Linked DNA regions of Oryctolagus cuniculus. The main gene of each other region encodes a partner of the protein of the gene in region 2 in a complex. Links are inferred from orthologs where the notes say so. Each region holds a gene or a part of one and is shown on either strand. Other genes may lie near its edges. The genes, in order: LIN52, RBL2, OGT, TFDP1, TFDP2, LIN54 and MYBL1.

The links.
Region 1: RBL2 (region 2) and LIN52 share a complex: the UniProt entries of both Homo sapiens proteins name them as parts of the DREAM complex. The link is inferred for Oryctolagus cuniculus from reciprocal best matches to the Homo sapiens genes RBL2 and LIN52.
Region 3: the proteins of RBL2 (region 2) and OGT are in contact, whole or in part, in a crystal structure (PDB 4XI9), measured with the Homo sapiens proteins. The link is inferred for Oryctolagus cuniculus from reciprocal best matches to the Homo sapiens genes RBL2 and OGT. Residues at the interface, in NP_001310537.1 of Homo sapiens: Thr417, Pro418, Val419, Ser420, Thr421, Ala422; in NP_858058.1 of Homo sapiens: His506, His508, His509, Asn567, His568, Pro569, Tyr642, Thr643, Lys644, Gln849, Phe878, Val905, Ala906.
Region 4: RBL2 (region 2) and TFDP1 share a complex: the UniProt entries of both Homo sapiens proteins name them as parts of the DREAM complex. The link is inferred for Oryctolagus cuniculus from reciprocal best matches to the Homo sapiens genes RBL2 and TFDP1.
Region 5: RBL2 (region 2) and TFDP2 share a complex: the UniProt entries of both Homo sapiens proteins name them as parts of the DREAM complex. The link is inferred for Oryctolagus cuniculus from reciprocal best matches to the Homo sapiens genes RBL2 and TFDP2.
Region 6: RBL2 (region 2) and LIN54 share a complex: the UniProt entries of both Homo sapiens proteins name them as parts of the DREAM complex. The link is inferred for Oryctolagus cuniculus from reciprocal best matches to the Homo sapiens genes RBL2 and LIN54.
Region 7: RBL2 (region 2) and MYBL1 share a complex: the UniProt entries of both Homo sapiens proteins name them as parts of the DREAM complex. The link is inferred for Oryctolagus cuniculus from reciprocal best matches to the Homo sapiens genes RBL2 and MYBL1.

What each region holds. Positions count from the first base shown.
Region 1 is NC_091451.1:20,252,901-20,257,743, reverse strand, and holds the start of LIN52 (protein lin-52 homolog), read right to left. Parts: upstream 3,083-4,843; 5' UTR 2,875-3,082; coding exon 2,844-2,874; intron 1-2,843. Other genes in the region: ALDH6A1 (methylmalonate-semialdehyde/malonate-semialdehyde dehydrogenase [acylating], mitochondrial), read left to right, coding at 3,449-3,496.
Region 2 is NC_091449.1:36,933,477-36,937,527, reverse strand, and holds part of RBL2 (retinoblastoma-like protein 2), read right to left. Parts: intron 2,688-4,051; coding exon 2,582-2,687; intron 1,302-2,581; coding exon 1,096-1,301; intron 687-1,095; coding exon 522-686; intron 1-521. UniProt on the Homo sapiens protein: Key regulator of entry into cell division. Directly involved in heterochromatin formation by maintaining overall chromatin structure and, in particular, that of constitutive heterochromatin by stabilizing histone methylation.
Region 3 is NC_091453.1:51,331,439-51,336,267, reverse strand, and holds the start of OGT (UDP-N-acetylglucosamine--peptide N-acetylglucosaminyltransferase 110 kDa subunit), read right to left. Parts: upstream 2,989-4,829; 5' UTR 2,685-2,988; coding exon 2,648-2,684; intron 1-2,647. UniProt on the Homo sapiens protein: Catalyzes the transfer of a single N-acetylglucosamine from UDP-GlcNAc to a serine or threonine residue in cytoplasmic and nuclear proteins resulting in their modification with a beta-linked N-acetylglucosamine (O-GlcNAc).
Region 4 is NC_091440.1:466,361-469,919, forward strand, and holds the end of TFDP1 (transcription factor Dp-1), read right to left. Parts: intron 1,823-3,559; coding exon 1,675-1,822; 3' UTR 591-1,674; downstream 1-590. UniProt on the Homo sapiens protein: Can stimulate E2F-dependent transcription.
Region 5 is NC_091435.1:139,716,296-139,720,782, reverse strand, and holds the start of TFDP2 (transcription factor Dp-2), read right to left. Parts: upstream 3,268-4,487; 5' UTR 2,958-3,267; intron 1-2,957. UniProt on the Homo sapiens protein: Can stimulate E2F-dependent transcription.
Region 6 is NC_091439.1:82,901,680-82,905,730, forward strand, and holds part of LIN54 (protein lin-54 homolog), read left to right. Parts: intron 1-616; coding exon 617-690; intron 691-836; coding exon 837-1,034; intron 1,035-3,145; coding exon 3,146-3,237; intron 3,238-4,051. UniProt on the Homo sapiens protein: Component of the DREAM complex, a multiprotein complex that can both act as a transcription activator or repressor depending on the context. In G0 phase, the complex binds to more than 800 promoters and is required for repression of E2F target genes.
Region 7 is NC_091437.1:92,240,529-92,244,579, forward strand, and holds part of MYBL1 (myb-related protein A), read right to left. Parts: intron 1,465-4,051; coding exon 1,096-1,464; intron 1-1,095. UniProt on the Homo sapiens protein: Transcription factor that specifically recognizes the sequence 5'-YAAC[GT]G-3'.

The DNA.
Region 1 (4,843 bases), on a different chromosome or scaffold from region 2:
CTGGCTGAAGAAAGAGAAAGAAATTGAGAGGACACGGGGAAAATTCAAACATAAAGAACGCAGTCCCAAAATCTCCAAAGACTTACATGCATAAACATAAAAACAATAATAGACTGAACATTTTAAGAGCAAGTACCTCTACTTCTAAATTGTTTAGAGCTCAGTGTCACTAAGTACATTAGTACAGTGCAACCATTATCACTGTCCACCAGAGCCCTTTCCCCTTCTCAAGTTAAAGCTCTGCACCCATGAAATAAAAACTCCCCATTCCTTTGGCTGACTCTTTTTTTTCTGACAGGCAGAGTGGACAGTGAGAGAGACAAAGATTTTTCTTTGCCGTTGGTTCACCCTCCAATGGCCGCTGCGGCCGGCGCACTGCACTGATCTGAAGGCAGGAGCCAGGTGCTTCTCCTGGTCTCCCGTGGGGTGCAGGGCCCAAGTACTTGAGCCATCCTCCACTGCACTCCCGGGCCACAGCAGAGAGCTGGCCTGGAAGAGGGGCAACTGGGACAGAATCTGGCACCCCGACCGGGACTAGAACCCGGTGTGCTGGCGCCGCAGGCAGAGGATTAGCCTATTGAGCCACGGCACCAGACTCCTTTGGCTGACTTTTAAAATAACTCCTCCCCGCTTCTTTTTCTGGCCAGAGGATTTAGCAGAATCTTGTCTGATTCTAAATATTCACAATTTCTTTTTTTTTTAATTAATTAATTAATTTATTTTTTTAACAGGCAGAGTGGACAGTGAGAGAGAGAGAGACAGAGTAAGGTCTTCCTTTGCCGTTGGATCACCCTCCAATGGCCGCCACGGCCTGCGCACCGCACTGATCCAAAGGCAGGAGCCAGGTACTTATCCTGGTCTCCCATGGGGTGCAAGGCCCAAGCACTTGGGCCATCCTCCACTGCACTCCCGGGCCACAGCAGAGAGCTAGCCTGGAAGAGGGGCAACCGGGACAGAATCCGGGGCCCCTACTGGGACTAGAACCCGGTGTGCCGGCGCTGCAAGGCGGAGGATTAGCCTAGTGAGCCGTGGCGCCGGCCCTATTATTCACAATTTCTTACACAGTATGTACCTATGCTCAAAAAGTTACAACTCAGTTAAACTTAAGGTCAAGCAAAACATTATTTCCTCTCTCTATATATTCTTTGATTCAATAAATGTTAATTGAGCCTTAAGATGCTAAATCAGGCACTGTGCTGCTGAATCCCAGGATTCAGCTGTGAACAAGACAGACTTGGAATTTATAATCTACTGTGAAAGAGGAAAAACTAACAGAATAACAATGCCATCAGTGAAGATACTGAGATATTTAAACAGGGGAGAGGGGCAACTCCAACACTGTGTTCTGGAAAAGCCTCTTTGGGGAACAACATCTAAAAGAAACCTGGAACTGGGAGAAAAAAAGTTTACATGTTTGATTCGTTTTTACATTTTCGGAAGCACCTGGTATTAACGCCTTTCATATATGTTGAGTAAGCCCATAATATTTTGACAGGATGATCGGTGTCAGATTTGGAGTAAAAATGAGGCACACATGGGAAGGCTGGTATACCTCTCTCCTCTCCTGGCACTGGGGCCATCAACTGACGCAATAATCCAGTCTTCCAATCCTCCCCTAATGGCATGCTCTGACCAAGCTGTTCCAAGATGCAGCCATTTTGTAGACCACCCCCACACAACTCCCGCAAGGTCCCATCATCTCTGCAGTGAGCCATTCAGCACCTTGCTCTGGTGTTGACCAGGGTAGCCAGGAGACAGCGGAAGAGATCTTAGGTGCTTTTTCCTACCCCCTCCTTTAGATTGCTAATCGGCCTGAGGCCAAATTGTCTTCCAGGGAAGAAATTTAAGAATCCATAATTAGGGTATTGAAATTCAAACTCAGACAACCCTGTAATCTAGATAGCAATCTCCATGTCACTCGGTAAAAAGGAAGTACTGCTTTACACTTTCATGTGGTCGTCTGACAACCTGTAACAAAACCGGTCTCATTAGTCTTTTTGATTTTTGCCAATCTTATGTCTCGTTATTGTTTCATTTTTCTTCAATGGTGTCAATATAGAATATGAAACCTCTGCAAAAAAAAAAAAACGCCCTCCCCAAGATTTCTTCCAAAAACACTCTGTGGTCGAGGAGGGGAAATTGCACATCAATGAACCTGACCTGGGGATGGGGTGATGGAAGGGCAGCCCGCAAGACCCTAGCTCTCTAGGGCAGATCGGAGCACAACAGCGCGCTGATACACCAAAACCTCGCGTCCTAGACAACATCCAGGCAGGGGAACCCGCACACACAGCGGCCCCTGCAGAGACTGAGATGTACGCGAAACTACTCTAAAGCAGAGCTCAACTGTCATTTCCTGGGGACCCTCGCGGCGAGGGGACGAAAAGGTCCCCGCTTCTCTTGCAATTCAGTCCCCGGACGGGGTCGGCCACCAACCCAGCTAGGACTTGAGGATAGTTCGATCAGTGCTCAGTGCGAGCAGAGATGATACATCAGCGGTGCACCCGGAGGAGCAGAAAACTATATATAACAAGGCACCTCCTTTCTCTCAGCAGTATCTCCTCCTCGTCCCTCAACTTCAGCCAAATAGGGAAAAAGGAGGGCCAATGAGACCACTGTCCTTCTGCCCTACGTGGGTGCTCTCCTCCACCTGCAGGGTACACAGCGGGGAAACCCGGCGCCTCTCAGCGGATGTGAAGAACCGGCGAGGTGAAACCAAGGAAAAGGGAAAGGAGAGGTTCCCGAGAAAGAAGTGTACGTTCGAGGGGCAGATGGAGAGTGGAAGTTCTCAATGGGAGCAAAGGAGGAGGTTGCAGGCCAAGGGTCTCTAAGCCGGCTCTTACCGTCTGTGGGAGACGCCATCTTCCAACCCATGTCACGTGACGTGGCCAACCGTCGGCGGGAAAGCGAGGACCCCTAAGCCACGCCCCCAAAGCGAAACCCTATCGCCAACTCGCAGCCCAGTCTCGTTTCTCCTCCCCATAGGACAGTCCTTGCCTAGCCCCGCCCCTAGCGACAGCCCTGCCCCTCGTGCTGTTGCGGAGGCGGAGCGACTGCAAAATTCTTGGAGGGTCTTATTTACTTTCCTCGGTAGGGGGTGGAACCCTGGTCGTGGCTGTAGCCAATCAGAACTCCAGGTTAGGGGGCGTCTCCCCTCCGTGTCCAATACAGAGTACCCAGGTAGGGGCGTCTTCCCTACCTCCGCCAATAGAATTCTCTGAGGTGGGAGGGGGCGAGAGCGCTTTCGCTTTTGACCAATCACATATCCGCAGGAGCAGGCCTGCGGGGGTGGAGTCAGGTGTTTTAGAGAGTGATTGGCCAGAGGAAATGCTCCTCTCCACGAATGAGAAGGTCGGGCAGGATGGAGGGGGAGGCCTGGCAGCTGTAGTGTTTCTGGCTAGCGCGGGCGGTGGAGGCTGGGGGAGCGTAGAAGAGGCGGCCGAGAACCATGGCGGCGGTGGTGGTGGCGGCGGCAGTGCGGGCCCGGATCCTGCAGGCGAGTGAGGGTGGCACCGAGGGACCACGAAGCTGGGACTTGGATGCTTTCCGTCCACTCTGAGCCATCCTCGGGCGGGACCGACTTCTTGGCCCAGCCCCCTTCTTGGCCGACCCTGGTGTTCCCCTCCCAGCCCAGCGGCCTAGTTTCCTCCTTCCCCCACCCCCACCCCGTACCTCCCCTAGTCTGGATGCCTCCCGGGACTTTCACCCGTTTACTCCGGGGCTTCCTGCTTGTTGGCTCTCGCCCACCGTCCTCAGCCCTACCCGGTCCCTGCTGCCACTCTTGCTGTCACCTCTCGGCCCGCCCACTGCCTTTCCCTGTCACTTCTGCACCAGCCACTTCGTTTTCTCGCATAAACTCCCCTCTCTTAGAGCTCTTTCGCCCGCCAGGAGCGTCCAAATGGCTCCCTTTCCCCACCCGTGAACCGAGGTAAGGGAGGGAGGGGGTTCTCGAGGGGCGAGGGTCAGCGAGTGAACTTTGAATCTCGCTCTGGGAGTGTGCACCAGGTTTTCACCACAGGCAGACACTTGCTAAGCTGTTTTCCCCAACTCTGGCTCTGCATTTCCCACAACCCGGAGGCGTTCTTGCCAAAGTTTAACTCTGTTAAACTTTGTCTCAATAAATTTACAGTTTTCATGTTGCAAGTAAATAAGGGCACGAAGTTCTGCTAGCGCATTGTTCCAGTCCCTTCAGGGGACTAAACATCTCTAAAACAGGCGACAGAGAATGAAGCTAAGAAAGGCGAGAAGCTCCAAGCTTCCCCCCTAACGTCAGCTCTCCGTGTGCCGGCACACCCTCCGATCTGCCCCTGGGAGACTGGGTCCTGTCTCCAGCCAGGCCTGTCGTCTCCAAGTCTCCAACCCTGAGTAGCTTTCCCCTCTGTTCCTAGCCTGGCAAGCAATTGCACAGTGAGGCAATATTTACAGTAGGCAGGATTCCCAAACCTGCTTTTCTTATTCCTTATGTTCAAACGGGGAACTTCTCTGTGTTGCTGGGCTTTTAGGTTATTATTATTATGTACCGTGTTTCCCTGAGTTCTTCCGCAAAAACAGAAGCAGTTTTAAGATTCTTGGCAGAATCAGCAAAGGTTCATATTTATAAATACACTGTTTAATGGAACAGTGTGGAAGATGGAGGGGTTCGCCGGGTGGGCTGGCTTCACTCTTATTTCTTGCCTTGATTCCAGTTCTGCTCTAGCAGCTTTTTTCTTTTTAGTAGCAAGAAAACAGTTTCCACCCTGTTTTGTCCATTACCAGCCTCTCCTTCAAATCTTTGACTAAAATTGGCTTTTCCCTTTGCCTCCGCCTCACTCCCATTGAAGGTATTTTGTGCTTTGCATCAGAG
Region 2 (4,051 bases):
TCCGAGATTCAACTATGTTGCTGAGTGTATCAGCAGTTTCTTTTTACCACAAAGTCATCTTTATATACACTTTCTATAAGTGTATCTTTTTATTGCAAAGTCATGGTTCACTGGATGCCCTGCATCTGTTACCCATCTGGTGGATGTAGGTTGAGTTCCTGGTTCCTAGTGGGCATTTGGGACTGTGTAAGCTAGACAGTATCATTCTTTGCCTCTCAGAAAAACATTTTGGTGCAAACAACTGTAAAATCCATGCATGCTTTTTTCCATGAACTTTTTAAAGACTTATATACATGGACTCAAAAATGTTTGGTACTAAAATACACTTCTTGGGATTCCATTTTCCATTAACTTGTTAATATACACTTGTACTTCCAACCCTAAAGTTTTCAAAAAGAAGCCAGCGAGGCACAGTGTTTGCTCTGTTGGGACTGAACTGGTCACTGCTGCCTGGCACTTGCATCACTGCAGTGAGTGCCTGGTCTTAGGTTCATAAAGGACAAGACCGAAGTTATGCTCACCTTTGATGGGCTGTTGCTGAAGTAGTAGAAAATCTTTTCTCGAGGAGAAAGCATCGTTTCATTTTTATGTGGGGAAATGTATACAGGATGATTTTGAGACAACTGTATTCGGCGAGGAGAGCCTGTTCTTACAAACGGGTAGGGAGACAGTGGAGGAGCATCCATCTGTTAAAAAAAAAATCCGTTAAGTGTAAGACAAAGATTTCTAAACTAGATGTTGCTATTGAAAATAGTTATTTTATGGAGTTGAAGTATAAAAAAAAAACTAGTTTTATGAATGATAAACAGTGATGTATATATGAGGAGAAAAGAAGAACACAGAAAGTTAATTTCCAGGTCACCACCATGGTGGTTACAAATTAACAGTCTGAACTCATGGAGGCTGTCTTGTTCTACTGCACTTGGGAGGGAATTCAGATACAACCTTACTTTTGTTTGATGGTTAACAGCAATAGAAATTATATAGGTTAGGCAGATTAAGTATTTGTACAACTAGTTTATATGTAGAACAGGTCAAATGGATTCCTTAGTCCTCACAAGTGATAAAGCATGCGAAGATCCTTGTCACACTCACCACGTTTGCCTGTGAGTATTTCATGGCAAATGTTTTAATCTGCTTTATGTAGACGTTGTTGTAGAACTGGATGAGGTCGCCCCTCTCCTCCTCTTCCATGTCGCTGTTGGCGCCGGTGAGGCGGGTAGGTGTAGGGGGAGCGCTGCTAGGCTGTGGGACAGGCAGTGTGCTGCTTGACCTCATGACAGGACTCGAGTCTCTACTGGCTGCAGTGAGAGCAACAAAGCATGGGAAGCACAAAGACACTGAGTAAAGACTTAAGAAAATGCAGCGGGAAAAAGGCAGTTACCTGCACTACGTCTTAATGGCCTTAAGTGGGCACACTATTCTTCATACCAAGGAGCAGAGCTCAGCTAGTGTGATCACTGATCTACCCCCAAGCCATTACTCCAGCAAGGGCTTACTCAGCGGCTTCCACTAATGAGTTACACCAGCAGTCTAGGATCTGAGCCCTGCACCAAGTGGTGCAAACCAGCAACTAAGGATGCCATTCCCTTAGCCTGGCTCCAACCACCACGGTGAACCCTCCTGGAACTAGGCCAGCAGAGGCTTGCAGAAAACCTTCAAAAGCAATATTCTGCACAGTATGCTTCAAAGATACAGGCTGAAGGACAACTTTGCCACTAAATTTGGATTTGGGTTTACTGCTCCAAAAAAAACCTTGGCCAATAAAACACTTTCCATGTTTCTTCAGTAGACACTTAGTGAGACTTAGTATTCTAGGCCTAAAAAATAAGAAAAGCTCCATGGGCCGGCTCCGCAGCTCACTAGGCTAATCCTCCACCTTGCGGCGCCGGCACACCGGGTTCTAGTCCCGGTCGGGGTGCCGGATTCTGTCCCGGTTGCCCTCTTCCAGGCCAGCTCTCTGCTGTGGCCAGGGAGTGCAGTGGAGGATGGCCCAAGTGCTTGGGCCCTGCACCCCATGGGAGACCAGGAGAAGCACCTGGCTCCTGCCATCGGATCAGCGCGGTGCGCCGGCCGCAGCGCGCCGGCTGCGGCGGCTGCGGCAGCCATTGAGGGGTGATTCAATGGCAAAGGAAGACCTTTCTCTCTGTCTCTCTCACTGTCCACTCTGCCTGTCAAAAAAGAAAAAAAGAAAAGTTCCTAATGGGCCAGTGCCACGGCTCACTAGGCTAATCCTCCGCCTGCGGCGCTGGCACCCAGGGTTCTAGTCCTGGTCCTGCTTGCTCCTCTTTCAGTCCAGCTCTCTGCTGTGGCCCGGGAAGGCAGTGGAGGATGGCCCAAGTCCTTGGGCCCTGTACCCGCATGGGAGACCGGGAGTGGGGGGGACCTGGCTCCTGGCTTCGGATCGGTGCAGCGCGCTGGCCGTGGTGGCCATTTTGGGGGTGAACCAATGGAAAAAGAAGACCTCTCTCTCTTTCTCTCTAACTCTGCCTGTCCAAAAAAAAAAAAAAAAGAAAGAAAGAAAAAAGAAAAGAAAAGCTCCTAATGTTGTTTGGTAATAGTTCATAAGGATCCCACTTACTTCTGTCTCTGTTCAGTTCTGTTGGGGAATTCTGATGGCTTCTGCTATCACTGCTGCCAGAATTTCTTCTTTTTCTTTTCCCTTTTATCAAAACACTTCTATATACCTTTAGAAAGACAATCAGAAGGGGGCAGGAAATTATGGATCTTAACATATATCAGTTGATTCTCACAACAGCCCCATGTAGTCTAGTTGTCCTGCTCACGGGAAGTTAAGAATGCAGCCAATTAAATAGTGTATCTAGGATTTACATCAGCCTGTCTGGCTTTACTTTCAAGTACTGCCTATGGGGCTGCAGTGCAGTGACAGTACCCAACCAGAAAGTCAAATCATGCAAAGTCAAATGTAAATATCTAGCACACATGGGGCCGGCACTGTGGTATAGTAGGTTACGCCTCTGCCTGCAGTGCCAGCATCCCATATGGACACTGGTTTGAGTCCCAGATGCTCCATTTCCAATCCAACTCCCTGCTAATGGCCTGGGAAAGCTGTGGAAAATGACCCAACTGCTTGGGCCTCTGCACCCCACATGGAAGACCCAGAAGAAGCTCCTGGCTTTGGATCAGCCCAGCTCCAGCTGATGCAGCCATCTGGGGAGTGAACCAGTGGATAGAAGACCTCTCGCTCTATCCCTCCCTATCTATCTCTGCCTCTCAAATAAAAAAAATCTTAAAAAAAAAAAATCTAGCACACTTGTCTTTCAGAGACAAATGAATGGTATTAAAAATCAAGTGGAGGCTGGCGCTGTGGCTCAACAGGCTAATCCTCCGCCTTGCGGCGCTGGCACACTGGGTTCTAGTCCCAGTCGGGGCGCCGGATTCTGTCCCGGTTGCCCTTCTTCCAGGGCAGCTCTCTGCTGTAGCCAGGGAGTGCAGTGGAGGATGGCCCAAGTGCTTGGGCCCTGCACCCCATGGGAGACCAGGAGAAGTACCTGGCTCCTGCCTTCGGATCAGTGCGGTGCGCTGGCTGCAGCGCGCCGGTGGCGGCGGCCATTGGATGGTGAACCAACGGCAAAAGGAAGACCTTTCTCTCTGTCTCTCTCTCTCTCACTGTCCACTCTGTCAAAAATAAAAAAAATAAAATTAAATTAAGTGGGTAGGGCTTGCTCTGTGGTGTAGAAGGTTAAGCCTCCACCTGCAGTGCCAGCATTCCATATAACTGCCAGTCAAGTTCTGGCTGCTCACTGGAAGATGGCCCAAGTATTTGGGCCTCTGAACCCACGTGGGAGACCCAGAAGAAGCTCTGGCTCCTGGCTTTGGATTGGTCTAGCTCCGAATGGTGTGTCCATTTGGGGAGTGAACCAATAGATACAAGATCTAGATCTCTCTCTCTGCCTTTCAAATAAATAAATAAATCTTAAAAAAAAAAATACATTTACATGGGTTTGAAACTTCAATAGTATCTTGGTTAAATGTACAGTACTGCATTTACTAAACCAGCCTGAAAGGTGACACAGAAACCAAATAATTT
Region 3 (4,829 bases), on a different chromosome or scaffold from region 2:
GAGAGACAGAGAGAGAAAGGTCTTCCTTTGCCGTTGGTTCACCCTCCAATGGCCGCCGCTGCAGCCGGCGCACCGCGCTGATCCGATGGCAGGAGCCAGGATCCAGGTGCTTTTCCTGGTCTCCCATGGGGTGCAGGGCCCAAGCACCTGGGCCATCCTCCACTGCACTCCCTGGCCATAGCAGAGAGCTGGCCTGGAAGAGGGGCAACCGGGACAGAATCCGGCGCCCCGACCGGGACTAGAACCCGGTGTGCCGGCGCCGCAAGGTGGAGGATTAGCCTATTGAGCCACGGCGCCGGCCCTGGTAACTATCTCTTAACCTAGGTGGGAACGCCAGATGTTTCTTACTCTTTAAATTATATTGATATGCTTCTATCTTTCACAATTTAATGTTTTAAAATAGCAACACCAGAAACAAGCCTAAGATTGGGAAAAAAAAAAAACTAAAAGTCAAGGTGCTATTTTTAAAACAGCTGATAAACAAGATGTATTCATTTGTCAAGAGCCAAAATATTTAAAGGGATCATCAAACATTTTAAATAAAGCTCCAAGATTATACTGCTCCTCTATCATTCCAAATTCACAAGGAGACTAAATTAGGTAAATCCCACCCATGCTAGTTTAGCACTAACATTTTCCAAGAAGCTCTGGCACTGACTATAAGATTTTATTACAAACAACCCTATGTAAACCAAGCAGTTACCTACAACTGCAATGGTTTAAAAAAAGGTGGGGGGGGGACACTCAAATATAAAAGTTGATAAGGCACAACAGAATGAGTAACAAACAAAAGCACTTTGCTGTGACTTCATTCAGATACATAGAGGGTATATATAGTTAAAGCCCAGAGATGGGAAAAAAACTGCCTAAGGCTCAATAATAAATACTTTAAACAACAGTGATACAGGACTGGGCGTTCACCACAACACTTTCGATAGAGGAGTGGAATTCGAAACCATGGACAAATTACTTAATTCTACCAAGGTCACAGTGACATGATCAAATTTGAGCCTGGCTCCCCCAATCATTAAGGCTGAGGAGAGTTCTGGAGACCGGGAAAGCAAAGTAAATTTCCTGTCAGAAGGCACATCTGACCACAAACAAGACAGTCTTGCATCCAAATTGGGGGAGGGAGGGTGGTATAGCTCTACTAGAAATTAGAAAATTACATTTTAGACAAGTCCCTAGAATTTCCTAGCTCCTTATTTTTAACACGTTACGTTGATCACTTTTTGAGCCGCTCATCTATTTTAACACTTGACCCAACTTCCTCAAATAAAATTAACACTTATAGAAAAGGGCAAGCTGGAACAGAATCTAAAATCTCAGAAAATCACGATGGGGGAGCGCGGAGAGCTCAGACTAATTACTCCCACTAAGATACTATTACAGATTCACCTATTACTTCCTACACAATGTCCAAAACAGGAACTAAAACCCTTGATCCATCTCAACTAGGAAAAACCAAAAGAAATAACCTCGTGGGAAACCTTAGAAGCGCAGTCCAATTCCCCACCCCCGCACGCCCCAAATAGCCTCAATATGGAAAGGCAGCCGAAGGACACTCCTAGAATTTGGTTGTTCTCTTATTTTTAGCACCAAATGCTCGCAACTGAATTGTCTCAAAGGGCAACAGCCTTGTATATTGTACAGCTACACTCCAGTTGCTTTACAAACTCTTCAAGCAGGGATGGAAACTTAAAAAAAAACATATATATATATATACACCCTATGAATAAAGAGATACCGAGCTAAAGAATGGGAATGGAAGACCCAGAGGCGGCGGCGGCGGTGGCGGAAGAATACATCGTGAAAGTAACACAAAGCGAGAATTGGGCGGGCAGGGTGGTCAGCGCCAAAGCAACACTATTGGGGTGGTTTCTCCCCCGGGGGTAGGAAGTGGCCCGAAGGGCTGGCAAACCTCGCGAAGCAAAGGGTGTGGTTCCTCGCGGGCGGAGAGGGATCACAGGGTGGGAAAATACAGGCTGGGGGCAGCGGGTGGAATTGGGCCCTGGCAAAGGGAATCCCTGGAAATTTCCAATCGAAACTGGGACCGCTCGACCGAAAGAAAGCCGGAAAGGCGCTGCCCAGCGGGGAGCTGCCCAATGTGTCTCGTCTGGAGGTTACTTATAACAGTGACGAGCTTTTGCTAGTCCTTGGGTGATGCAAAGAGGGAATACGGTTACAACGGAATAGCACCCCCGCCCTATACCGGCAAAGAAGAACGAAATCTGGCTAGGTGCAAAGGGCTGTAGGAGGAGGTGGAGAGGAAAAAGGAGAGGGCTACGGGCTGGAATCTGGGGGGGAAACCGGTTGCAAAGGAAAGTGGAAGGGCAGGGATTCCAATGCAGTCCATTCCAAGGCATTCTAAGCGCGCACGTGCAGGAGAAGTATCCCGAGAGAGTGAAGGGCTAGGACATTTAAAGGAGGGCAACAAACAAACCAAGAAAAAAAGCAAACAAGCACTAAAGAGGAAATACTTGAGCAGACGACAGCACAAAATTCGAGATGTCAGCAGACCACGAAAAGCTCAGCGCTGCTACTGATGCAATGGGGATGGTTAGAAGGGAGGGAGGGAGTGATGAGAGGAGAAGACGGCGCGAGACCCCAAAAGGGAGTCTGACAAGGTAGAACGGGACACCGGTACCTGTGCTGTCGGCCACGTTGCCCACGGAAGACGCCATCTGGAGCTTCTTGAGCGAGAGCAAAAAGGGGGTAACTGACTCTCACTGCCGCCACTACGGGCAAGAATGGTTCTGGAGGTAGTAGTAAGAGGGCAGCAGCCGTACCAGAATTTTGGAAGGCTTAAGTGGTGGCGGCAGTTACGGACTTGGAACCTTAGGAACTCTGGTTGGCCGTCTACCTCTCACGGTCTTGAAATGGCGGCGAAGGCTCCTCGGCCGAAACAACACGGGCCGGAACTACTTTCTGTTACAATCAAGTACCCGGCGGAGGCAGCGCGTAACCAGAGCTACAGACCCAATGACTACAATCAAAGTCACTTGCCCTCCTGTAAGCTTCCGCGCAAGGCCCATTGCGACAAACAGAATTGTGCCGACAGCGCATGCGAGCAACCCTGTCAAGCGGGCTCCCTGTTAGAGCCCTCGCTGGGGCAGGACTGTTCAAGTGCTTTTTGAGAGTAAGGCGGAAGAGTGAAAAATATCCATGTACTCACTGGTTACATATTTGCCAAAGTAGTATCACTTGGTTACCTAGCTAGTGAAGTACATTTTAACAGCAATGCCAAAGGTGTCCACAAAAGTTTAAGCAACTTTATCCAAGTCAAAAAAAAATATTTACAAGGCTGATGGGCCAGTTCTGAGCAAATACATTTAAATGACTGTATTTCAAAGACAAGCTGTTCTTTAAAAACGGTGGGAGACAAGGGTTCCAATTGGAACACGCCTTAGTTCTGACTCCAGCCCTAGGTTTAAGCACTTTGATGAGAAAGGCATACTTTTAGAGGGCCAAATGAACCCAGACATCCTCTGCTTTTAGCTACATAGCCCGAAATTTCAAAATCGTTTTCCTATTCAGGAGAGTTCTACCCATGGTAATCGGACAAATGCTTAATAACTCAGGGACACGATGAGTTTGCACTCCAAAAGCAGCCATAAAAATGTTAAAGATGATTCATTTTCGTCCAAATCCATGACTCTCCTCCAAGTTGTGACTTAATGTCCACCAATTAGCTCTGCAAATTGTCACAAGGCGATTGTATTGAGCAGAACAGCAATAAATGTATTCACTTACCATCTGCAAAAACCACACGTCTAGAGTCAGGAATTGCTTCCACTTCCTTGAACAAATCAAGTCCACCGTTCAGTTTGTCACATTGGTATTAATTTATAATTCATCTCTTCTTCCAGAAAGGATTTCGGGTAGCTTGCTACATAAACAAGAAATTATCACAAGCCACTAGAGGTTATAAGTTGGAGCTCTGAGAGCCTTTGTATTTCAACAAGTCCTTGATCTAAGAAAACATGTTAATGAATGTCTTCAAAAAGTTTCTGCGACCCAACCCCTTGTCTACATTTAAAAACTAACAAGTCCTCAGATTCTGCTTCAATTTCTTCTGAGCAGTCAACAAACTTAATCACAGCCAAGAGCACAGAGACAATTCATAATATATGTTAATTTCTTCTATAATTAATTAAGAGATGTCATGCAGTTAAAAAAAAGACAATGTTCACTACACAAACTCTTCTGGAAATTGCGAACTGACCTCTTTGTGTCCTTTCATGTAACTGGTAACCTCCCTCCCCACTACAAGTGCCCCATTTGTAGTGAATAAACTCAGCTTTTCCGCTTTTAGAACACACTTCTTCAGATTCCACTGGCAGCTGTTTAGGCCTTACTGATTAGTGGGTGCTAGTTAATTAGGTAAAACTCTTCTCGTTAAATGCCAGGTCATGGTGCCGGTCAAGTAGGCTATTATGGACAGGGTTCCTTGTCCTCAAATTTGTTTCTATGAAAAGCTGCACAGTAGGGCTCACAGAGGCTCAGTACAGAAAAACCCCTTACTGGAGTCTCAAGAACCCTGGCTCCATACCTTCCAGGAATAGCACCTGGATAGTATGGTTGAGTTTGAAGGACTTCTTCATTAGGCAGGCAGATTTTCTTCAGTCAATCAAGTAACACGCACACTTAGTCTCTGTGTGCAAGGCACTGTAGGGGGACACAAAAATAAACAAGACAAGATCCTTGCCTTCAAAAAACTTGAACCCTAGTTGGGGAGACACAGAAAACCCAAATGCGAACCATATGCAAGAGTATTGTTTAGGTGATAAAAATACATTGCCCTATAAAATATCTGAGACGGCAAGAAT
Region 4 (3,559 bases), on a different chromosome or scaffold from region 2:
GGCTGCCTGTCTCCATCTGGTCAGCTCCAGGATCTCAGCTGGCTGTGACTGTGCTGAGGCCGCACGGAGGTGCAGGCCACCCTCTGGATTTCCCTGCATGCACAGCTGAGTGTCTTGGTCTCCAGAGGGGGTAAGTGCAGGGGCGGGGGCTTCAGACACAGTGGCAGGGCTTGTCTCCTCGCTACTGACCAGAGCACAGGCCTGCCCTGGCTCCACACTGTGTGCACCCGTGTGCACCCATGTACCCATGTGCGGGCTGTGCCAGCACAGCAGGCAGCTGCCTGCCAGGGCTGGGCGGGGGCTGCCGCTGAGCGAGGAGCCAAAGCTGAACCAGAAGTGACGGCCCTGAAGTCGCGGCCTCTCCAGAGCCCCAGAGCAGCGAGGAGGCGGAGCCGCGCCCCACCACCTGGTGCTTCCTGCTCCGACTCCTTTCCAGAACCTTCCATGCTGTCATTCCTTTCTGAAGGGGAAACCTGTGGAATTCGTCTCGACCTTTAGGGCTGAGGAAGAGGCCAGGGAGCGCACGTGCTGTGAGCCGCAGGGTGGGGGGAGGGGCCCTGGCCGGGAAAGTGAGATGGAGCACACAGAGCTCGTTGAAAATGCCCATGCGCGTTTTATTAATAAAAACTAACAGTGCCGAGTTAAACAAGTCAAACAATTAAAGTCTCTTTATATTCCATAAAATATTACAGAAAAGTCTATTTGTGTTTCAATAAAAAGACTATCGTTTCAGAACAGGCAGCTGACAGCAACTGAGCAGTTAATGTTTCTGTGAATAAATCTTAAAAGACACTACTGCCTGTCCTTAATTTCCTTTTCTCTTTATAAAAAAAGAACTATTAAAAATGATTGACAAATTTTGAGTTAAAAAACTGTTAAAACATTCTCTATGTTTAATTTCAACTTTATAATAGATTACGGAAGATGCTCAGGAAACAAATCCCACATTTGTTTCGGTACGTGTCTTTAAATGACAGACTCATAGGTATGTAAACAACTATTTAATAAAAAGTTTCCAAACGCAGCCTGTAAGAAATCAGGCAAATTTTACCATAAGCAACAAACCTTCCAGAGTTTCCGCAGCCGCCCCAGCGGGCAGTAAACGTTGCCCAGCAGACCAAAACGACAAACAAAAAGAAAGAGGACTTTGCAATTTGTTGCTGCAATAGAGAGAGAGAGAGAGAGAGACGTCAGCTTGATGGAGTCACACCAGTCAGTATAATTTACGGAGCACACAGTCACGGCAGGACGCATGGCGCTGAGTGTTCGCTTCCGTCTTTGGACATCGCATGATTCACAAGAGGAAAACGCATCCTGCATCCGCCCCCCGCCAGCCCGACGCAGGGCGCCACACGCCGCCGGCGCCCGCGGCCACGGCAGGAGAGCGTCTTATTTTCATTGATGTGGATGAAGTAAGATATCTTCAGCAAACTCAGCGAGAGCTGTGAAGGGGCAAAAACGGACTCTGAACTTTAAAAAGAGCTAGAAACGGAAAGCAGACGCCTGCAAAGCGAGCAGTGCCCTGGCGGCGGCCTGGGGCCTGCGGGGCCCTCTCGCAGCTCACCAGCATCTTCTTGGGGGAAGGCCAGAAAGAAACAGAAAACCCCACGCTTAAAAAAAGTCTCTTCCCTCGCCGGCTCCTGAAGCCGGATCTGCGGGGAAGGGGCCGGGACGTCAGTCCTCCTCGTCATTGTCGTTGAAGTCGTCGTCGTCCTCGTCGTCCTCCCCAACGTAGGACACGGGCGTCTCCACCCTGGAGCCGCTGTACTGAGACCCGTTGGAGCTCGTGGCCAGCATGCCGTCGGCACCGTTGGTCAAGTCGCTGCAGGGACAGGAGGCAGACGAGCGTCAGGCACGGCCTCCACCCAGCCTGGCCTCAGCCTCAAGGGGAGATCGAGTCCCACAACATGGAACCCAGCCCTGCAGCCCCCGGGCCCCCACCAGCCCCGTCCTCCTGAAGCGGCTGTGCATGGCTCAGGTCAGGCCCCAGGTGAGAGAGAAGCCACACATGCACAGGCTCAAAGACGGCAGCCACGGCAGGTCAGGATGCCCGGGTGAGGGGCAAGACCACCACCTGGCAACAGGGGTAGCACCCCCAAAACCTGCCACAGCCCAGAGCTGCCAATGTGACCGACTGAAGACGTTTCTCCAAGGGTCGAAGTCAGGACAAAGCAGTTAAGCTGCCCCGCTCCCCCACCACGTCCAGACCGCATAGCGGAGTGCCTGGGGCTGACTGAGTCCTCCCCGGCCACGTGCAGACCACATAGCGGGGTGCCTGGGGCTGACTGAGTCCTCCCTGGCCACGTCCAGACCGCATAGCGGGGTGCCTGGGGCTGACTGAGTCCTCCCTGGCCACGTCCAGTCCGCATAGCAGAGTGCCTGGGGCTGACTGAGTCCTCCCTGTCCGCATAGCGGAGTGCCTGGGGCTGAGTCCTCCCGCGCCATGTCCAGTCCACATAGCGGATATAGTGGAGTGCCTGGGGCTGACTGAGTCCTCCCCGGCCACGTGCAGACTGCATAGTGGGGTGCCTGGGGCTGACTGAGCCCTCCCGCACCACATCCAGTCCGCATAGCAGAGTGCCTGGGGCTGACTGAGCCCTCCCGCACCACGTCCAAACCGCATAGCAGAGTGCCTGGGGCTGACTGAGTCCTCCCCAGCCACGTCCAGTCCGCATAGCGGAGTGCCTGGGGCTGACTGAGTCCCGCCTCTGCTTCTGATCCTGCTCCCTCTGATACACCTGGGGGGCAGCAGCTGACACCTCAAGTGCTTGGGCTCCTGCCACCCACACTGGAGACCTGGATGGAGATTCCTGGCTCCTGGCTCTGGCCTGGCATTTGGGGAGTGAACCAGTGGATGGGAGACTCCTCTGTCACCCTTTCAAATAAATAAATAAATAACTGTAAAACACAAGCGAAAGACTCCACACAGGCAGGGCAGCATTAGGTCTGGTGGTTAAGCCCCGGCTGGCCAGGCCCTTCACGCCCCAGACAGTGACGGGCGGAGTCCCAGCTCCCACTCCTGATTGCAGCTTCCTGCCAGTGTGCACCTGGGGGGCAGAAAGAAGGTGGCCATGGAAGACGCAGACTGAGCGCACGGTGCCCAGCTTCAGCCCAGCCCAGCCCAGCCCCACGCACTGTAGGTGCCTGGGGAGTCAACCTGGGAGTGGAAGCAGCCTGCGCCTCCTCCTCCCCACCTCTCAGTTTTAAAAACGTTAACGGTTAACACAAAGCGATACTGCAAAGCATGAGCCACGCAGGTCAGTGAAACCATGGTTTGCTCTGTGGACATTCACTGCAGAAGCTCCTCACAGCACCAAGTGGACACAGGGACAGCTCCTGCTCTGTGGCATTGCAGACCAAAGGTCAGGGCACGTCCACGGTCATCACAAAGCCCCTTCAGTAACAGCAGCGAAATGTGAAGTGAGAGAGACCGGAGAAGGAGACGCACGCACGCTGATGCCGACGCACGCGGCTCGGCGGCCGTCCGAGCCGGGGCCGCAGGGGCTCTGTCCCCTTGACAGCACTCTCCTTTCTAAACCCAGAAGTCAGCGTTCCGGGG
Region 5 (4,487 bases), on a different chromosome or scaffold from region 2:
ACAATACAGAAGTTAGACAGAACATACGCAGTGACAATGCGACTTCCAGTTGAGTAAAAGAATTTCGTTTTTTTTTTTTTTTTGACAGGTAGAGTTATAGACAGTGAGAGAGAGAGAGAGAGAGAGACAGGTCCTCCTTCAGTTGGTTCACTCCTCAAATGGCCGCTACAGCCGGCGCTGCGCCGATCCGAAGCCAGGAGCCAGGTGCTTCCTCCTGGTCTCCCATGCGGGTGCAGGGCCCAAGCACTTGGGCCATCCTCCACTGCCTTCCCGGGCCACAGCAGAGAGCTGGACTGGAAGAGGAGCAACCAGGAGTAGAACCCTGCGCCCATATGGGATGCCAGCACCGCAGGCGGAGGATTAACCAAGTGAGCCACGGTGCTGGCCCCACTATTTTATAAAACTTAAGAGTTGTTGGAGCCAGCACCTGTGACGCTGGCATCCCATATGAGGCACCAGTTTGAGTCCTGGCTGCTCCACTTCTGATCCAGCTCCCCGCTAATGTACCTAGCAAAGCAGCTGAAGATGGCTCAAGTGCTTGGTGCCCTGCCACCCATATGAGAGACCTGGATGAGCCTCCTGGCTCCCCCCTTTGAGTTGGCTCCACCCTGGCCATTGCAGCCATCTGGGGAGTGAACCAACAGATGGAAGATCTCTCCCCTCTCTCTCTGCACTCTGCCTTTTAAACAAATAAATACATCTTTAAAAAAAAAAACAAGTTGTCCAAATACCTTTGCCTCAGAAATTATGAACATGTCTTCATAAAAACATGCAAATGTACGTAATTTTGCAGAAAATTTCTGGGGGGGGGGCAGTGCTGTGGCGTAGCGGGTAAAACTGCTGCCTGCAGTGCCAGCATCCCATATGGACGCCAGTTCGAGTCCTGGCTGCTCCACTTCTGATCCAGCTCTCCACTACGGCCTGGGAAAGCAGTAGAAGATGACCCAAATCCTTGGGCCCCTGCACCTACACAGGAGACCCAGAAGAAACTCCCGGTTCCTGGCTTTGGATCAATGCAGCTCCGGCTGTTGCGGCCAATTGGGGAGTGAACCAGTGAATGGAAGACCTCTCTCTCTGTCTTTCAAATAAATAAATAAATCTTTAAAAAAAAAAAGTTTCTAAGGGTTCACAAATCTACTTCTAAATATACTAGAGTGTTACGGATCCCAGATTAAAATGGAAAAGACTCAAGTATGAATTGATATATTAACAATTTAATAATCTTTAAAATCTATTACAACTTAAAATTCTGATCTCAAAGAACTCTCAACTTATGTTTTCTAGATTCCTCTGAGATTTACTATGATACATGTTACAATAAGCATTTAAGTGATGATGGCTTACAGGGGGTATAAACTCCATTTCAAGTCACACTAAAAGCACAGAGCCCAGATAAGCATTTTGGCCACAGTGCGAATACTTCACTGTGCTACACATTCCAAAGAAGGGGTCTGTGGTGGTGGGGGGGTACAACTGCATGATCACAAAATGGTCATGCCACACACTAGCGAAATTCAGCTTTCCTTCTTAAACAAACAACTAGAAACAAAGAGAACTCGAAAATAAGAGTTGAGTAAGTCTTGGGCCTTTCTGTACAAGTACCACACTGCTGCAACTGTATGCCAGGGCAGTGCTCCCAGCCATGATGGCTGCCATTAGACCAGACCAGTTCCAGGCACAAGATGTTCTACCACACAACAAACACAGCCAGTGCCAGTGCCCAAGTGCGATAGAATCTGGGGTCTGGGTATTTGATTTTTCTCCTGGTGCTATTTGAGAGTGGACACTGTCATTAAAGATTAATTATAGTAATGTGATAGCGATAAAGCTTTCGCTAAACCATAGGCCAGCCAACGACATGGAACAGCAAGATGCAACACAGATTCAACTACTCTGATTCTGAACAGAGACAGGTAGGGTCATGATTATGTCCTTTTAGAGAACAGGTGAATAATTCCAATTATATTTATTAGGCAAAATGACTAAGATGAAACCATTAAGAGAAAAGAAAAACAAGTGACCCAGAAAAAATTAGGTAATAGAAATCAAAGGAAAAGTCATGAAACTAAGATCTGGGGGAGAGGGGAGAAGGCGGAAGAGGGAAGATGGGGGGAGAGGGGAGATGGGGGAGAAGGAGCCACGCACCCACTGAAGCAAGCAAGCAGGTGGCAGAGGGCGTCTGAGCCGTCTGCGAGGGAAACGGAAGAGGAGAGCGTTCCGGGCTTCGGCGGAGCTTCGGCGGTGAGTGGGCAAGGGGCAGAGAAAAGGATCCTCTCGCGAACCCGCGCTCGCGGCAGTCAGAAGCGAGGGTGCCCACCTCGTGCCCTGCGCTGCCGGGCGGCGAGCTCGCGCCCCGGGCGTCCCTGACCCAGGCGGCCCCAGACTTCCCTCGGCGGCGGCGCCCACGCCGAGGTCCCCCAGCTCGAGCAGACGGAGACCTCACAACGCGAGCGCGCGGCGTCTCGGCGCGGTCCCACCCAAACCCTGCCGCTGCCCGGCGGACGGGCACCTCGGCTCTCCGGGATTTCTCCAGCCGTCTGGGCCCACAGAGCAATGCCAAAGTTCCCTTACGGGGCACAGGTACACACAAAGCCTCCCAACTCTTAAAAACAACAACGAAACCCTGGCGGAGGCAGACGGGGGGTCGCGAAGCAGGGGGCAAAGTCAGCAGCCAGAACCCGAAGCCATCGCTCCCTACGGCCAGGACGGGAAGGGGGAAGACACCCTCTGCCCGCCTCGCCGAGGCGTGACTCAGGGACCTCACCTCCCCCAGTTTGCAGGCTGCGCGAGGAAGGGTGACCTCCCTGCCTGCCCAGTCTCGCCCGGACACTCAAGGGTTACTCCGCCAGGCCTGAGGAGCCCGTGGGATTCCCGGGGGTCCCCCGGCGTACGCAGCGCGCCGGGCCGGGTCCAGAGGCCCTCGGCACGCGGGCCCGCGCCCTCGCCCCGGACCTTACCGCCGCTCGGCTGCAGAGGACCCGGCGGCCGCGCGAGGCTGCAGGGCCGAGCCGGGGGCGCGTCTTCGGGCGCCGCCGATCCTCTGGCGCCCGGGTCCCGGCGGACTCCCACCCAGGCAGCCGCGGCCTTGCCCCGGTCGAGGCCCCCAGGAGTTCGAGGCCCCGGCACGCCGACCTCGCGCCCGCGCGCGCCCTCAGGGCTCGGTCAGGGCGCGCCCCGCGTGCCGGACAGCGGCCGCACAGCAGCCGAAAGCGCTGCCGACTTCGTCAGCCCGCACTCGGCTCGGCGGCCTCCCCGCTTCCCCCGCGCGAGCTTTGGCGGCGGAGCAGCACGATGCACGGCCATTGGCCGGTGAGAGGCGTGACGTAGGGCGCCGCTCCCCACGGATTGGCCGGTCCCGGCGGTGCGTGCAAAGAGTAAACAAACCCCGCCCCCAGGCTGCCCAATGATGGGAGGGGGCACGAGAAGAAGAGGCGGAGCCTTTAAGCGCCGCGCTCCGACCCCTGAAGTTTCTCCCGGGCTGCCCAAAGGGTAGGTGGCGGTGGCCCGGGCTCTTGGTTCCAGCTCCGATTGCTGGACAAGCTGTAGGCCTGAAGCCTAAAGTTTAGAAACACGCCCTTCCCTCTCGCCCCTAACTCCCCCACGAGGTCCGCCCACGAAGCAGGAAGATCGCAGCTGTTTGAGAGGCGGGAGAAGTGGGGCAGGTGCATCTGGATCCTTCGCATTTGAGGAGTCGCGGGAGTAAGCGGTGAGGCAGTGCTTGGGGCCAGCCGTGGAGCGCCTTGAAAGTATTCGATGAGTGAGAGACTCCTGGGGAGTTGGAGGTTCTTCCCTAGCCAGGCGAGTTAGGATCCACACAAAGCCAGGCCGCCTTGCCCCGGGGCTGCCCGCTTCCCCAGACACCTGTTCCTGTAGGGTCGGTAGGTTAGCGTTACAAGATTGTGTCTGTTCGTTTTCTGCTGATTTGGAAAATTCCGCGTGGACCGAGCTGTGGAGGTTGAGAGAGGAGAGAGAGATGGGAGCTGCCCTGCTGATGGAGTGAGGTGTGAGGGCACAGTGTTGCAACGATAGGCCTTTCTCATTTCGCTCTGCTCAAATTTTATAAATCGCCCACGTGCGGAACACTGTTCCAGGTGCTGGAGATACCTCTGTGAACAAAAAGAGACAAAAACTGCGTTCGTGGAGCCCGCATTCTAGTGCGGTGGGAAAGACGACAGCTAAAGAAATAAGCAAAATAAAAACGATGCTACCTGCTGATCTGAGCTGTGGAAAAACAGTAAGCAGAGTGTGTGTGGGAGGGATGGCTTCAGCCTTAAGCATGGTGGACAGGGAAGGAGATCCTAAGGACGCGTTTAAGTAAACACATAAAGGACTTGAGGGAGACAGGAGATCACCTTTGGATCTGGGTGCGGTGTCGAGACACTGGCCTGCCACATCACAGTAGGGAGGTGAAGTCCTCGGAGTCCAAGAATGCCGGATGCTGCCTGTTGCTGATTGACTGTGACATGCAGATCCCCAGAGGAGTGATT
Region 6 (4,051 bases), on a different chromosome or scaffold from region 2:
GAAAGTAAATGTGTTTAGAAAGTAGCAGAGCTGGGGGTTGAGCCCTATAGATCTTAGGACTTTAAAGCCTCTTTTTTTTTTTTTTTTTTTTTTTTAAGATTTATTTCATTTATTTGAAAGGTAGAGTAAGAGAGAAAGAGATCTTCCATCCTCTGATTCACTCCCCCAAATGGCTGCAATGGCTGAGGCTGGGCCAGGCCAAAGCCAGGAGCCAGGATCTCCAGCTGGGTCTCCAATGTGGGTACATGGGCCTAAATACTTGGGCCATTTTGTGCTGCCTTCCCAGGCGCGTTAGCAGGGAGCTAGGTTGGAAGTGGAACAGCTGGAACTTGAACTGGTGCCTGTTTGGGATGCTGGCACTGCAGGTGGAAGCTTAAGCTTCAGCACCACAGTGCGGGCCCCCGAAAGAGTCCCTCTTACAGTGGATAGACTGCAGCGACCTCGGGAGGATCGATTTTGAACCACTATCCTGATTAGAGATTGCTCATAGTAGGAAACAAGTGGAATTCTTTAGCTCCTTCATGAAGATAACACAAGAAAGCTAAGTATTTATAACTGTTTTGAGTATTATTTCTATAAATAAATTGTTCATTTTTTTTTCCTTTTTAAAAAAAAGCAAAGCCAGTGGTTGTTAATACTACCCCAGTGCGGATGTCAGTTCCAATTGTTCCAGCTCAGACTGTCAAACAAGTGAGTATCATGCGACTTTTCTTCTCAGTCTCTTCCAAACAATTTACTGTTCACATTGAAAGTTAGGAGTTAGGTGCAAGAGACTTCTACTGAACTAAGCAGCTGTAAAAATACGGTATTATTATTGATGTTTCCCTTATTTTTAGGTCGTCCCCAAGCCAATCAATCCAAGTTCACAAATAGTGACTACTAGCCAGCCCCAGCAGCGGTTAATCATGCCTGCCACACCACTGCCACAGATCCAACCCAACCTCACCAACCTGCCACCAGGCACTGTGCTGGCACCAGCTCCAGGGACAGGGAACGTGGGCTATGCAGTGCTTCCAGCTCAGTACGTTACTCAGGTATGCGGGAAAAATGAAGCCACTGTGTGTCAGCAAGGAGAACTGAGTCTCAGATGTCTAGCACTATCACGTTCTAAAGCTTAACTCGGTATTAAAATGCTGTTTTCAAAATCTGAAAATGTCAGCCAAAACTTCTGGGTTTATTTCTGTGTGTCTTCTGCACTTAGAAATATATGATACAAGTCAGATACAGGAGTAAGATAGTTGGGACCTAAGAACAGCTTGATGAGGGTAATAGTATAGATAGGAGAAAAAATAACACTGAAATTATTTCAGCAGAGCCCAAATGAATTTTTAAGAATGACTATCGTAAAGACACAAATACGATGGCTCTGACATTGCCTGGAAGATAAGCCGTGAGACGCATTTGTGGGTGACTTGCTTTCTGATCTGACCCTTTCATCTGGTTGTCTTTAGGAGGAAAGTCAGGTACTAGCTGGCTGGCTTGGGATGGGGGTGCTGCTTCCATGAAGCACATGGAAGTCTCATGCGTGCAGGCAAATTAGCACCGTCATCTAAAGCATTGAATTGATCGACCCAGATTATAAGAGAAACGAGCTGGTGTTGTGGTGCAGTGAGTTAAATTGCCACCTATGACACTGGCATCCCATATGGACACTGGTTCATATACTAGTTGCTCTGCTTCTGATCCAGCTCTCTGCTAAGCTGCCTGGAAAAGCAGCAGAAGATGGCCCAAGTGCTTGGGCCCCTGCACTTAACATAGGAGACGTGGAAGAAGCTCATGGCTTTGGTCAGCCCAGCCTGAGCCGTTGCAGCCATTTGGGGAGTGAACCAGTGGATGGAGGCTATCTTTTTGTCTGTCTCTTTCTGTCTCTCTTTCCCCCTCTCTCTGTAACTCTGCCTTTCAAATAAACAAATATTTTAAAAACAAATGAGAGAGCCAGCGCCACGGCTCCATAGACTAATCCTCCACCCAGCGGCGCCGGCACCCCAGGTTCTAGTCCCGGTTGGGGCGCCGGATTCTGTCCCAGTTGCCCCTCTTCCAGGCCAGCTCTCTGCTGTGACCAGGGAGTGCAGTGGAGGATGGCCCAAGTGCTTGGGCCCTGCACCCCATGGGAGACCAGGAGAAGCACCTGGCTCCTGCCTTCGGATCAGCGCGGTGTGCCGGCCGCAGCGCGCTAGCTGTGGCAGCCATTGGAGGGTGAACCAACGGCAAAAGGAAGACCTTTCTCTCTCTCTCTCTCACTATCCACTCTGCCTGTCAAAAAAAAAAAAAAAAAAGAGAGAGAGAGAGAGAAACAGAAACTTAACGTGTATACTGAAATGCACTTTGGAGAAATGTGGCTACTGATGAATAATGATTCCATATTTTTATCATTGACATTTCTAAAGTTTAGAAATCAGTAGAAAATATTATGCATTCTCTATGATTTGAAATGTAGGGGGGAGCAGCGCTGTGGTGTAGCAGGTTAAACTGCCGCCTGCCATGCTGGCACCCCATACGGGCACAGGTTTGAGTCCCGGCTGCTCCATTTCCGATCCAGCTCACTGCTATGGCCTGGGAAAGCAGTAGAGGATGGCCCAAGTCTTTGGGCCTCTGCACCTGTGTGAGAGACGTGAAAGAAGCTCCTGGCTCCTGGCTTCAGATCGACGCAGCTCTTGCTGTTGCAGCCATCTGGGGAGTGACAGCAGATGGATGACCTCTCTCTATCTCTCTCTCTCTCTGCCTCTGCTTCTCTGTGTAACTCTGACTTTCAAATAAATAAATAAATAAATCTTTAAAAAAAAAAAATGTAAGGGGACAATCAGTGTAGTATCTATTTTATTTGCAAATAGGCACATTGCATTGGTCTAGCCAATACAAGCATTGCAATACTTTGAGGGCTTTCATCAAGAGTTTCTGACATACTTCTCTAGGAAATAATTTCTTGTATTTGTACCACATAGTACTGTCAAATACTCACATTATTTTCACCTCTAGAATTGGTGAGGGTCTTTAAGAGAACTCCACAGGCAAGTGTTTGTATGAAATTCTCCATTATGCTTTTCCTATGTTAGTAGCTGAATTTGGGCTTCTTCCTGGTGATTATATGTGAGAGGATAGTCTGTTTTTGCAAATATGGTCTAAAGTCACCTTCCTTTACCTGTAGCTCCAGCAGTCTTCCTATGTGTCTATAGCAAGCAACTCGAACTTCACTGGCACATCTGGTGTGCAGACCCAGGCAAGGCTCCCGTTCAATGGGTGAGTATTTTGAAAATATCTAAGTGAAGTTGTTGAATTGGCTTAAATGTATACTTAAATAATCACCCAGCTCTAGTGCCCTGTGGCAGATTCATCAGCTGTACCACATTTTTATTGTTCATTCTGAGTAGCGTTTTACCATGAGGATGCTGTTTGTAAATCGTTATGTTGGGTCCTTGGGTTTTTGTTGCTGTTGTTTGTTAATCTGCTAATTGCTGCCTTAGCAATACCAGTTTGGATGCAGTGCTTAGTTAATTACATGGCACCAGGCCGTACCCCCACCTCCAGTTTCTCTGTGTACCTCTTTACCTTAACTACTTCTTATCTTTGAACCCTGAGAGTTTTAAGGAAGCTTGAACTTTTTTCTCAGAAGGAAGAGTGTTATGCCCAGTTCAGTTGTCCCCAAAGACCACCAAGGAGCCGATACCGCTGTAAAGCACACGAGAGCTTTATTGCAGGTCCGGGCCTGGGCTCTCAGTCAACACCAACGCAGGGGGTCTGAATTGAGAGCCCCGACCCTTCAGTGAACAGGGTGTTGTGGTTTGTTTTTTTGTTTTTTTGTTTTTTTGTTTTTTTTACAGAGTGGACAGTGAGAGAGAGAGACAGAGAAAGGTCTTCCTTTCTGCCGTTGGTTCACCCTCCAATGGCCGCCGCGGCTGGCGCACTGCGCTGATCCGACAGCAGGAGCCAGGTGCTTCTCCTGGTCTCCCATGGGGTGCAGGGCCCAAGTACTTGGGCCATCCTCCACTGCACTCCCTGGCCACAGCAGAGAGCTGGCCTGGAAGAGGGGAAACCGGGACAGAATCCGGCGCCC
Region 7 (4,051 bases), on a different chromosome or scaffold from region 2:
GTGGAATTGCTTCAAGGCTACTTATAACTGGAATGAATTCTACCTCCATTATTTCTGGCTCTTAATATTTGAACTTTAAGATTAGTAACCAAACCTTCTTTTACAGGATAAAGTTCAAGCTATTTGCCTTAGGATATAAGTGCCTTTGAGTTACATTCTACCACAGAATTTATACTTCAACGAAAGTTACCTACATGTTATTCCAGTACAAAATACTGCTAAGTGTGCCCAACCCTGTTTCACCCTCTCCAGAACGCTTTTTGACTATGAAGGCTGGGAAAAGGAATGGATGCACTATTCACAAGTAATATGTAAATAGCGTCCCCTGAAGCGGGTAGGGAAGGGACATAATTTTCAGAGATCAAAGTGGTGGTATCTTGCCATACCCTACTCATCTTCCAGGCTCAAAACATAACTCCCATAATATTCCAGTATCCTCATGCCTATTTGATCACCAAACTCCTTTCTTCCCCTATAGAGGTTTCTAAACTGTCAAAACACTTTTAGCAAACACTGCTCCATCTCTTACTGTGACCTTGGCCAAGATGCTCAACTTCAGAATTTTAGCCTGGAGCATGGCAACTGTTCAATAAGAAACCATTCTAACATAAACATCTGCTGCCCAAGGATATTACAAGAGGAGAAAATAGGTATTTCTGCATATGGCTGGAAAACCAGGTTTCTTTCAAGGAACATTAAGCTGGAAAAATCAATAGGTAAACTAAAGGCTAAATTACTCTAAATATATAAGGTCTTCTTTAATATCTGTTAAAAAGACAGTCAGGAAACGGTCCTCAATCTCAGCTCATTAGATAACTTTGGGCAAATCATTTTTACCTTTTTGGGTCTGTTTTCTGATGAGTCATTAAAATGTGAGATTACATGATAAAGAAAACTTTCATCTGAGCTCTAAAACTTACAGTGCACTCACGCTTTGGGAGATACCTCATGTATACACTCCCATGTATACATTTAAACATATTATCCATTGTTAGGTGTTAGGAAAACAACCAACTGCCAGAAAGGATACTAAAGATCTAATTTAATCCAGCTCATCAACATTTGGAAATATATATATAAAAACAAAAGTACTACCTGTGAAGGAGAAAATGGTAGTGTTTTCACTGGTGTGTGTTTTAGTGCTGTATTACCACCATCATTGAATGAGCCATCACCAAGTTCACTGCCTGGGGACTGACCCACTCGCATTCTTCTCTTCTTTCTGAGGATGGTGGGTGGAGTACTAAACTTGGCCACATTTGGGGATGTCAAAGGAACAGCCTCATTGTCTCCACCATTACAACTGTTTTTTTTCCCTTCAAGTACAAGACTGACATTAAATTGACATTCCATGGCTCCTTCATTGTGTTGGATTCGCATTAGTTTAACTGGAGTAGACTTGACAGGAGAAGCAGCAGCATCAGAAAGATCAAAACTGGTAACATCACTCCATGCTACAGGATCCTGCAATACAATTAAATTCTGAACTGAAGTTAATACTTTAACCTATTTAAGTCAAATCTTGAAAGGCAGAGCAACAGCAAGAGAGACAGAGAGACAGACAGACATTTCCCATCCATTGGTTCACCTTCCAAATTATCTGAACAGTTACTCATTTTTACAAACAGACTTTCCTGAGACATCCTTTTTAAAGCAAGATCATTTGGATTATTTGAGTGAAACAGATTATTTTTCTTTGTTAAAAGATTTATTATTTATCTTTTTATTTGAAAGAGAGAGAGAGAGTGATCTCCCATTTGCTAGTTCACTCCCCAAATGACTGCAACAGTCAGGACTGAAGCCAGGAGCCAGGAAAGGCCCAAGCACTTGGGCCATCCTCCATTGCCTTTCCAAGCAGGAAGCTGGACAGAAAGTAGAAGAGTCGGGACTCAAGCTAGCGCTCCGATATGGGATGCCAGTATTTCAGGCAGCAGCTTAACCAGCTGTGTCACACCACTGGTCCAGATTATGGTTTTCCTTTCAATTTGGGATATCCCAGAATATTTCATTTAATTCAGCAGATGAAGCTTACTATCAAAGTATTTTATATAGGAGAACAAATTATTTTAAGTCATTATCAAAGAGCACAATCCATCAGGGTGGACATTTGACTCAGTGGTTAAGATGCCCACACCCTATATTGGAGTGCCTAGGTTTGAGTCCTGGCTGCTTCAGATTCCAACTTCCTGCTAATGTACTCCCAGGGAGGCAACATGTTGTGGCTCAAAAGCTTGGGTCCCTACCACCCATGTGGGAGACTCTGATGAAGTTCTAGGCTCCTAGCTGTTGCAGGCATTTGGACAGTAAACCAACAAATGGAAGATCTTTCTTTCTCTTGCTCTGCCTTTCAAATAAACAAGAATAAATAAATTTTTCAAGTTTCATTTATCATAAAAATCACATTTGACTTCCTATCAGGAAAACTATCAAATTCTGTAGAGTCATTTGGTAATATGTATAGAACCATTTTAAAAATGGTGATACAGGAGCTGATGCTGTGGCAAATGGTTAATCTGTCACTTGTTAATGCCAGCATGCTGCATCAGAGTACCAGTTTGAGTCCTAGTTGCTCTGCTTCCAATCCATCTCCCTGATAATGTGCCTGGGAAGGCAGCAGAAGATGGCCCAGCTACTTGGACTCCTGCTACCCACAGAGGAGATCAAGATGGAGTTCCCGGCCAGCACCACAGCTCAATAGGCTAATCCTCCATCTGCGGAGCCAGCACACCGGGTTCTACTCCTGGTCAGGGCGCCGGATTCTGTCCCGGTTGCCCCTCTTCCAGGCCAGCTCTCTGCTGTGGCCCAGGAGTGCAGTGGAGGATGGCCCAAGTACTTGGGCCCTGCACCCCATGGGAGACCAGGAGAAGCACCTGGCTCCTGGCTTCGGATCAGCGCGGTGCACCGGCCACAGTGCACCGGCCGCAGAGGTCATTGGAGGGTGAACCAACGGCAAAAAGGAAGACCTTTCTCTCTGTCTCTCTCTCTGACTGTCCACTCTGCCTGTCAAAAAAAAAAAAAAAAGATGGAGTTCCCAGGCTCCCAGCTTCAGCCTGCCTCAGTCCCAGGTATTGCAGCCATTTAGGGAGTAAACCAGTGGTTAGAAGATCTCTTTTTCTTTCCTTTTCTCTCTGTCACTCTGCCTTTCAAATAAATAAAATATTTTTTTAAAAAAATGGTGATATACTTTGATCCAGAAATTCATGATTTTGTACAAAGCTTTATATAGATACATTCTGTTATTTGTAATAACATAAAACTAGATAACTAAATGTCCAAGAAGAGTATACTGGGTAAATTTTCTTGCATTCTTACGATTGAATGCTATAAAGCCATTAAAATTCAAGTTTAAAAAACAGGAACACGGAGACGTACTCATGATATAAATGAAAACCAAAAAAAGCCTGCAATCATAATACATAGGTATATATCTGCGGATTAAAATCTACATACTTTTATCTATCTATATACATATATACACACATAAGTGTGCGTGTTTATGTGTGTGTGTGTGTGTGTGTGTGTTTTGTGCATAGAACACAGAGTGAAAGGAATATATTAAATTATTAACTCTGGGAATAAAGGATTTTTTTTCCTATTTCTTATTTATTTGAAAGCAAAGATGGCTCCCATCCATTGATCCACTCTCCAAATACCCACAGTGGCCCAGCTCTGGTCAGGGGCTAAAGCCAGGAGTCAGGAATGCAACTCAGGTCTCCTATGTAGGTAGCAAGAACCCAATCAACTGGGCTGTCACCACTGCCTCCAAAGATCTGTGTTAGTAGGAAGATAGAATCAGGCATCAAACTGAGGTTCTCCAATGTGGGACATGGCATCTTAACTGGAATCTTAACATCTAGACCAACTGCCCACCTCTATGGAGAATTTTAAGTTTCATCTTCATAATTTTCTCTAGTTTCCAACTTTCTCTAATGTACTTATACAACTTATATGCTCATAATTAAAATTAAGTTTTTTAATCTGTAGAGATTCTATATAAGGCACACACTTAAGAAAAATTTAAACTTTTTCCTTTTTTTTTTTAATGAAGAAC